Linked DNA regions of Ovis aries. The protein of the gene in region 1 purifies or fractionates together with the protein of each later gene. This does not show direct contact. Links are inferred from orthologs where the notes say so. Each region holds a gene or a part of one and is shown on either strand. Other genes may lie near its edges.

Evidence for each region. The genes of interacting proteins can lie anywhere in the genome.
Region 2: the proteins of PNKP (region 1) and XRCC4 purify together in Homo sapiens (co-immunoprecipitation; 5 studies listed by BioGRID and IntAct, counting the BioPlex papers as one, with this or other methods). This does not show direct contact. The link is inferred for Ovis aries from reciprocal best matches to the Homo sapiens genes PNKP and XRCC4.

Annotation. Positions count from the first base shown.
Region 1 is NC_056067.1:55,943,972-55,947,248, forward strand, and holds the end of PNKP (bifunctional polynucleotide phosphatase/kinase), read right to left. Parts: intron 2,980-3,277; coding exon 2,908-2,979; intron 2,190-2,907; coding exon 2,141-2,189; intron 2,044-2,140; coding exon 1,973-2,043; intron 1,896-1,972; coding exon 1,803-1,895; intron 1,667-1,802; coding exon 1,570-1,666; intron 1,494-1,569; coding exon 1,432-1,493; intron 1,279-1,431; coding exon 1,169-1,278; intron 1,092-1,168; coding exon 1,004-1,091; intron 923-1,003; coding exon 861-922; intron 797-860; coding exon of another isoform or gene 777-796; coding exon 659-776; 3' UTR 603-658; downstream 1-602. UniProt on the Homo sapiens protein: Plays a key role in the repair of DNA damage, functioning as part of both the non-homologous end-joining (NHEJ) and base excision repair (BER) pathways.
Region 2 is NC_056058.1:80,502,676-80,507,334, reverse strand, and holds the start of XRCC4 (DNA repair protein XRCC4), read right to left. Parts: upstream 2,860-4,659; 5' UTR 2,791-2,859; intron 1-2,790. Other genes in the region: TMEM167A (protein kish-A), read left to right, coding at 3,085-3,087.

The sequences.
Region 1 (3,277 bases):
CGCTGAGCCCCCGGGAGGCTTCCGGCCTGGGGCGGAGTGCGGGGGCCGCCCACCCAGTCCCTCTGCCCCCTCCCCGCAGGTCAGATGCTTCTGAGCAGGGGCCTCTGGGGACTGCGCCTGCCCAGCGAGATGGAGGACCACGTCCTGAGATGTCTCTGAGGACAGCCCCCACCCTGTACGTTTCCCCAATAAAGTCTTTTAAAAGCCCTCCGGCCACTTGGCTCTGTTCAGACTCCCGGCTCTGGAGAGGCCAGGCCACTCTCACCTGAGCTGGGAGAGGGTGCCACCGTGCACGGAGCTGCCCAGCCTGGGCAGTACCTGCTGCTCCAAGTGTTCCAGGGTTTTTCCTGCAGCTGCTCCCAGGCTGCCCTCCCTGCCCTGTGGCTTCCACGGGCCTCATTCAGCTAGAAGCAGACACGAGGCAGGGCCAGGCAAGTTCCAGCTGCCACCACCATAAACCTCTCCAACCCAGGAGAGGCAGAGGCCCCCCAGGGGGGCAGAGTCCCCAGTAGCACCTTCCTGGTACCTTGGGCCCAACGGGTCTGTGCTGCTGGCCTGGCTGGGTGAACCACCCTTCTCTCCAGCAAAATGGTGGCCAAGAGTTAGGAGAAATAGCATTTATTGTGGGAAGGGGCGAGGGCCAGTAGGGCAGGGTGGCTCAGCCCTCTGAGAACTGGCGGTACAGCCGCTCGAGCTGCGGCACCACGTGCAGCTGAAATGGGATCTCCAGGACGGCTGCAAAGCCTTCGGCCAGCGTGGGGGCCTCGAACTGCTTCCTGGCGGCAGAGGATGCAGGCTAGAGGCGAGACCCAACCATTGGGCTCAACCTATGTCCCCCCACCTCACCCTGCGGCCCCCACCTGTAGCTGTAAATGACGACGTCGGACACGGGCATGTGGGAGGAGTCTGTCATCTCCCGGAACTGCGGGGGCAGAGGTGGGGCCGGTGAGGCCAGGGCTTGGTGGGGTGTTGGGGGCTGGAGGGGCTCGGGGGGTTCACTCACCCGGTTGTTGTGGCGCGCCTGCTCCAAGGTGGCACTGAAGAGGAAGCAGCGGCAGGGCACACCCGCATCCCGGGCACACTTGATGTACCTTGGGGAGGGGAGGATGGGGAGCTTGGTAAAAGGCCTGGAGCCGCCCTCTAGGGGCCTTCCCTGGGACCCCAGTACCTGGCCCGGCTCTGGACGTCGGGGTTTGTGTTGTCAATCACGACCGGTTTCCTCTGCTTCAGGGCCGCCTCACATGCAGTCACACAACGCTGCCATGAGCCCAGAGTGTCCTGGAGACCCAGAGAGAGAGATCAAGGATGGGGCTTGGGACACCCAGGGGCACAGGGACCCAGAGCCGGCGGGGGGACACCGAGGCAGAGTGATGGAGAGTCAGAAAGCACAGCCGTCTAGGGGTTGGGGGGGCACTGAAGACCACGTCCTACCCTGTTCACGTGGACGTATCCGGCTGACACGAGATGCTCCCGGAGGAAGGTGGACTTCCCGGCTGTGAAGGGCGCAGGGTGAGTGGGGCCTGAGGAGTCAGAGAGGGGCTGGGGCTTCTGGGGGTCAGGGAGTCTCACCCCCAGGAAATCCCACGGCGACGACCACCTCTGGGTCTGAGCTTAAGAGGGAGCTGGACTCGGGGAGGCAGAGAGGCCCAGAGCGGGCGATGCTTCTCTGGGAGGGACAGACAAGATGAGAGAAACCCGGCCCCATCCCTGTGCGTCCCCGCCGCAGGCCTCATCGGGTCAAAGGCTGCGAGCTCAAAGGGCCCCATCCATGTGTGCCCCCCACCCAGCCCTGCAGGCCTCACCGGGTCAAAGGCTGGGAGCTCGAAGCGGGCCGCAGGCCACTTGAGAAAGAACTCCTCTGGTGTGGTGAAGGGCAGGCCCAGGTTCAGGGCGAACTGGGGGGGCGAGGGAGCAAGTCAGGTGGGGTGGGGTGGGGGCGGGCTCCGGTGTCTGGACCGGGTGGGGCACTCACCAGGCGGTCTGCACAGGAGAAGTCTTTCTTCTTGCGCCCAGGGGCCCAGTTGGCTGGGCGTCCCGCTGCGTCTGGAACACGGAGCCCCGTCTCCACCAGCATCCTTAGGAGCGGCCCATCCGCATCAGCGCCCAGCACCCCCCCCCCCCCCCAGCCCCAGGCCCTTACCTCCCACAAAGATGCTGTCCCTGATGGAAATGGGCACGCCCTCGTTGGCCTGGGCAGGGACACATGACAGGCAGTAAGGAACCCAAGCCCACATCTGTCGCACTAACAGGTTCCGCCAGGAGGTCGCTCTGTCGGTGCCCCGCCCTAGGCCTGACCTCTAGCCTCTCAGACCTCAGCCACTTCTCAGCCGCTTCACCGCCTGTTCCACAAGCGGCCGCCAGAGGGCGCCCGCTCCCACCTGACGCGGCTCCGGACCCCACAGAGTCTGACCTCGCATTGCCCCCTCGCCAGCTCAGCGGTAGCCACACAGGCCTCCTCCCTGCCCGCGAAAATACCGGACTCCATCCATCTCAAGATCCTTGCATTTGCCGTTACTCTGCTCTTTCCTTAGATGACACACGGCTCCCTCACTCACCACCTTTAAGCCTTTAATCAACACCCGGCCGTTCCCTCACTGTTTACACATCGGTCAACACACTTAAACGAGGGCCCGGGCGCAGGCAGGTCTGTCTTGTCCACTAATACGTTCAGCTCAAGAAGCTTTGTTTGTTCTGAAGAACAAACCCATGAATGAATCCACAGGTGATTTCTCTCCGGACCACTCTGGTTTCCCGAGTTTAAAAGCATTGGCCTCAGCCACCAGCACCAGGACATGATAGCAAAGAAACTGAGGCGGCCAGGCCTGGGGAGGGGGTGACAGGGAAGGTCATGGAGCAGAGACCTGGAGTGGGCAGGCGGGCAGGGAGCCCTGGGAGTCGGAGGCTCACCTGCTCTTGCAGGTGGTCCCACATGCCGCTCACCGGCTTCCGGTACAAGCCTGCGTGCGTGGCCACCAGCACCTGTGGGTGGGGCCGGGGTCAGACACCGTCCTTGACTCTTGCTCTGACACCCAGAGTCCTACAAAGGCACCTGAATCCCAAGGACACTACGCCAACGCTCACCAAGGTGAGCACCGCTTGCAATGCATCTGTCGGCATAACCACGCCCGGGGCCCCCATCCACTCTCCAACTGGCTCACCATGTCACACCTTCTCCCCGGGTCTCTGTTTCCTCCTTTCTGGCCCACCACGCAATCTCTGGCCTCTGTCTCAGCCTCTCTGTCCCTCTACATAGTCCTTCAGCCTCCCATGCAGCCAT
Region 2 (4,659 bases), on another chromosome or scaffold:
TCTTACCAACCCAGGGATCAAACCCAGGTCTCCCACATTGCAGGCAGATTCTTTACCAGCTCGGCCACCAAGGAAGCCTAAGAATATTGGAGAATATCCCTTCTTCAGGGGATCTTCCTGACCCAGGAATCAAACCAGGGTCTCCTACGCTGCAGGCAGATTCTTTACCAGATGAGCTACCAGGGAAGCCCATTGAGTGCTTGCTGCTGCTGCTGCTGCTGCTGCTGCTAAGTCGCTTCAGTCGTGTCTGACTCTGTGCGATCCCATAGATGGGAGCCCACCAGGCTCCTCTGTCCCTGGGGTTCTCCAGGCAAGAACACTGGAGTGGGTTGTCATTTTCTCTCCAACGCATGAAAGTGAAAAGTGAAAGTGAAGTCGCTCAGTCCTGTCCAACTCTTTGGGACCCCATGGACTGCAGCCTACCAGGCTCCTCTGTCCCTGGGGTTCTCCAGGCAAGAATACTGGAGTGGGTTGCCATTTTCTCTCCAACGCATGAAAGTGAAAAGTGAAAGTGAAGTCGCTCAGTCCTGTCCAACTCTTTGGGACCCCATGGATTGCAGCCTACCAGGCTCCTCTGTCCATGGGATTTTCCAGGCAAGAGTACTGGAGTGGGGTGCCATTGCCTTCTCCATTGAGTGCTTGAAATGAAGTGAAGAAGTGAAGTGAAGTTGCTCAGTTGTGTCCGACTCTGCGACCCCATGGACTGTAGCCTACCAGGCTTCTCCAGGCAAAAATACTGGAGTGGGTTACCATTTCCTTCTCCAGGGGATCTTCCCAACCCAGGGATCGAACCCAGGTCTCCCGCATTGGAGGCAGACGCTTTAACCTCTGAGCCACCAGGGAAGCCCCATTGAGCGCTTTGTGCAGGTCAAATACCTGACAATACTAGGGAGGTCCATGCCTTCTTTGCACAGAAAAACATAAATATGTACTATTTTTACATATAACAGTATGTAAAGTATATAAAGTATAATAGTATTTCTTACTGAACCTAAGAAATCAAAGTTGAAAATACTCTTCTAGATGCAGGAGAGGCAATAATTTTTGAAGAAGGAAATTACAAGAACCAGATTTCACTTTTAGTGTGTATGAAAATGATCCAAGATAGTCTGAAATAAGATTCCATACCAGAGCTGCTAGAAAAGAGATTTTTGATATAGCAATGTAAGACAGTGCTTAAATTAGTTCACTGGCAGTGAAGCCAAGAGTAGGGAGTTCATGTGCTTAATGACCATATATCTCAATTACCACCTTCTTAGAGATCTTGCCAAGAGATCGTGTCAGATTAACTTTGTTGTGTTACATGAAAAACTTTATATATAAATGTATGTTCAGTCTTATCTATTGCTATTTGGCTTCCTCTATGGGTAACTTTAAAATAACTGGCATTGTTCTTCCCTATTTTGAAGCTGAAGTACATAAGAGCCCATGGTCTAAAATTAATTAAAATTCATAAATACAGTAAATCAACTGTGATTTTTAACAACTTCAATTTCCTGGTGCACTTCAGCTATCACATATAACCCTCAAGTGTCCATGTAAATGAAGACAATCTACATGACAGCAAGATGTTTGCAGACACATTTACTACTTTGGAAACCAAGCTTGATGAGTTGCACAACATAATTTCCATAACCAAGCCAAGATTATTTAATTTGAATGGTTAAGACTTTAAAAATATATTGTAAAGCAATCACAAGACAAAGCATTACAGCTTGTTTTTTTGATAGGACAAGGTTACAGTATATTTTTATACATTTCTTATTCCCCTCTTCCCCATGCCCATAAAATTTCTGGAAGGAACAGGCCATCTTTATCCCTCTGCAGCAATCTCATGATGGTATGAATAAAAGCTCAGTTAAGTACTTGCTAAATTTGTGTACTTAACCAATTCTTGACAATTCAGTAGATTCAAACAAAAAGTTAGTAATGGTTTAAAAAAAAAGAAAAAAGAAAAGAAAAAAACTTGGTGGGCAGTAGCCAACAATACAATCACAGATAGTAGAAACCCAAATATTGTAATCACTGTGTTGCCCTAAATATAGAAAGGTCTCATAGTTTGGCCAAGAACAGCACATAAATCAATGCATTATATGAACTTCCTTTCCTGTTTCTCTCAATCCACTTTGAGTCAAAGTATTAAAAAACTGATAATATTCTAAAAAGAATCTGGGGAGAAGGAATAGAACCTATCTAATGGGATTGTTAAAATTAGAGAAAGTTAAATAATAATACTGATTAAAAGAAAAAGTTGGTATATGTCTTGCAGGTGGACCATTTCTCTAAAGCACCTAATCAATTACTGAACTCAGGAAAGGCAGCTCCTTTCCATTTGTTCCCACAGAAAGTTCTTTCCTGACTGCAACGGGCACCTTTCAGCCTCAGATCGAACCCACTGACAATCTACAAAACGCTGAGAATTAAAAGCGAGAATGCCAATGTTAGAAAACTGATCAAACACCTTCTCAACACAACCCCCTGAATTCAAGTGTCCTAATCCCACAGCTTTACAGGGCATTTCAAAGGCGCTTTACACAAAGAATCCCGCAGGTGCAAAGGGAGAAACTGAAAAGGGAGCCCAGGCGATGCACGACATGAGGGTAACGCCAGAGAACTCAGGTGCTCCCCAGTGTTTACAAACAGAAGGGCCAGAAGCTTACACATCGAGGGGAGTCTAAGCCGGAAAAAAATTGAGCGCGGAGGAGTTCTAGAGAAGTAAAGAAAAATAAAAATAATAATAACTGGATCGCCGACTACTATTAAAAGTCAGTCGCCACTTCCGGACCCTACCTGTTAGTAATTCCACTTCCGGCCTCCTCCGAAAGGCCCGCTCCCACAGGCGGACATCCAGCACCCAATGAGAGTGTTACCTACTTCCGCGGGGGCTGAATGACGTCATTTAAGTCCCGTCCTTTCCGGAAGAGAGGAGCCTATCGTAGAGCCCGAGACCCGCGCCTCAGGAGGAGGTACCCTGACAGGCCCAACCAAACCGCGGAAAGGGAAGAGAAAGGCAAGCCGGCCGTGCACGCCTCTTCCGCCCTGGGCCCGGAAGGGTGATGTGGCTGGGGCTCCGCCGGCCTCACTATGGTAAGAACCGGGGCTTTGGGGTCGCAACTGAGCTTTGTGCAGGGGCTGCGAACCAGTACAAGGGGTGGAGGGTTGAGTGGCAGTCCCCGGCCGGGGAGCCCTGTCGCTAACTTGACTCTCCTGGGGCTCAGAGGGAGAGATGGGCCCGGGAGCCATGTGGCCACTGCACGTCCAAACTGGGACAACCGGAGCCGACAGCCCAAGAAAGAGCCTCAGGGCCGCAGAGCCCCTCCTCACACGCAGAGGCTACTTTAATGACTTGTTTCAAAGAAATGCGCTGGTTTGGCTTAACCCGTCGTTACTTATTCTTTGTGGTTATTTTCAGGCTTTAGAGCTGCCGGATTTGCGCGCTTGTTGTTTTGCGGTTTGTTATCTCATTGCCGACCTAAGCCAGGTGTTTCATTGTTTTCAAACAAACTCGAGACATGCCACCTTAATTTTGACTTGTTGAATTAATTGGCCTTTTAGGTCTCTCCAGCTCCATTCTCTCAACTCTAAAGATGCTACTTTATAAGCTGTGATATAATCACTGGAGTTGTCTGTAGAGGTGGCTTTTCTAGAAGCTTACTGTGCTTGGAGTGGTTTCTGGCCTCGGGTCTTCCCTTCCATACATTATTAAGGTTTCCTGTGTTATTTTGTCTTATTGCAGATTCCTTTAATAGTTTGGGCCTCTTGGAGAAGCTTGAAATTAGCTTGAATAAGTTCACAAGAGAAATGTTTACTTCTCCAAGCTACGAAAAATACATAAAACCAACGTGGACGAAGGACAGATGAAATAATCAGTAGTAATAGCAAAGATCTCCCAAGCTATGTCTGCAGGCATTTCACCTTTGTCACGGTAAATGCTAACAACCTCTACACTGGGCCCTCCCCATGAATTTAGGAGGTCTATATGCCAGATGTGTTTATGAGGAAAAGATTCGTGCCTTTTATTATAGTATCAAAAGCAGCCATGACAAAAGCTTTTCTGCAGTGAAAAGTTGTTGAGCTTACGTTCCCAGAAGTTCCTGCAGAATCCCATACAGCATAAAACCCTTAGACTTTGAATCGAAAACTCATTAATTGTTGTTTACTTTGTGCCAGCTACTGTTATAGCTGGAGCATAAGTCACAGTCTTTTCCCTGGAGAAGTTTACAATGTATAGAGGGGATGACATTTTATTGGCAAATTATTCCTTCCTTGGCCGAAGATACTCTCCAGTTCCAAAATCGAACTATCACATGAAAGGACACAAGTGGATAGACTTGTGTCCTGAATGAGCCATTATTTAACTTAGAAAATGTGGTTCATTTTGCAATCCAAAAAGAGTAACGAGACTGTTACTCTTAATTCTTGCATATATCCTCCTTGAGGCTGAAATGGATTATTTTACTCATAGTACAGGCAGAGATAGATTCTTCTTTTTGTCTTATGTTCTATTTAGAAGCAAGACATATACCACTTAAGATTAACAGTATTTGAGCCATCTGGCCATACTGGTTTATTCAGAGAAACAATAATAACTCTCATTTATTAGCTATTGCTGTGTGCCAGGGTGCATTTGAAAAATCAACTTGAAAGTATTGTTTCATT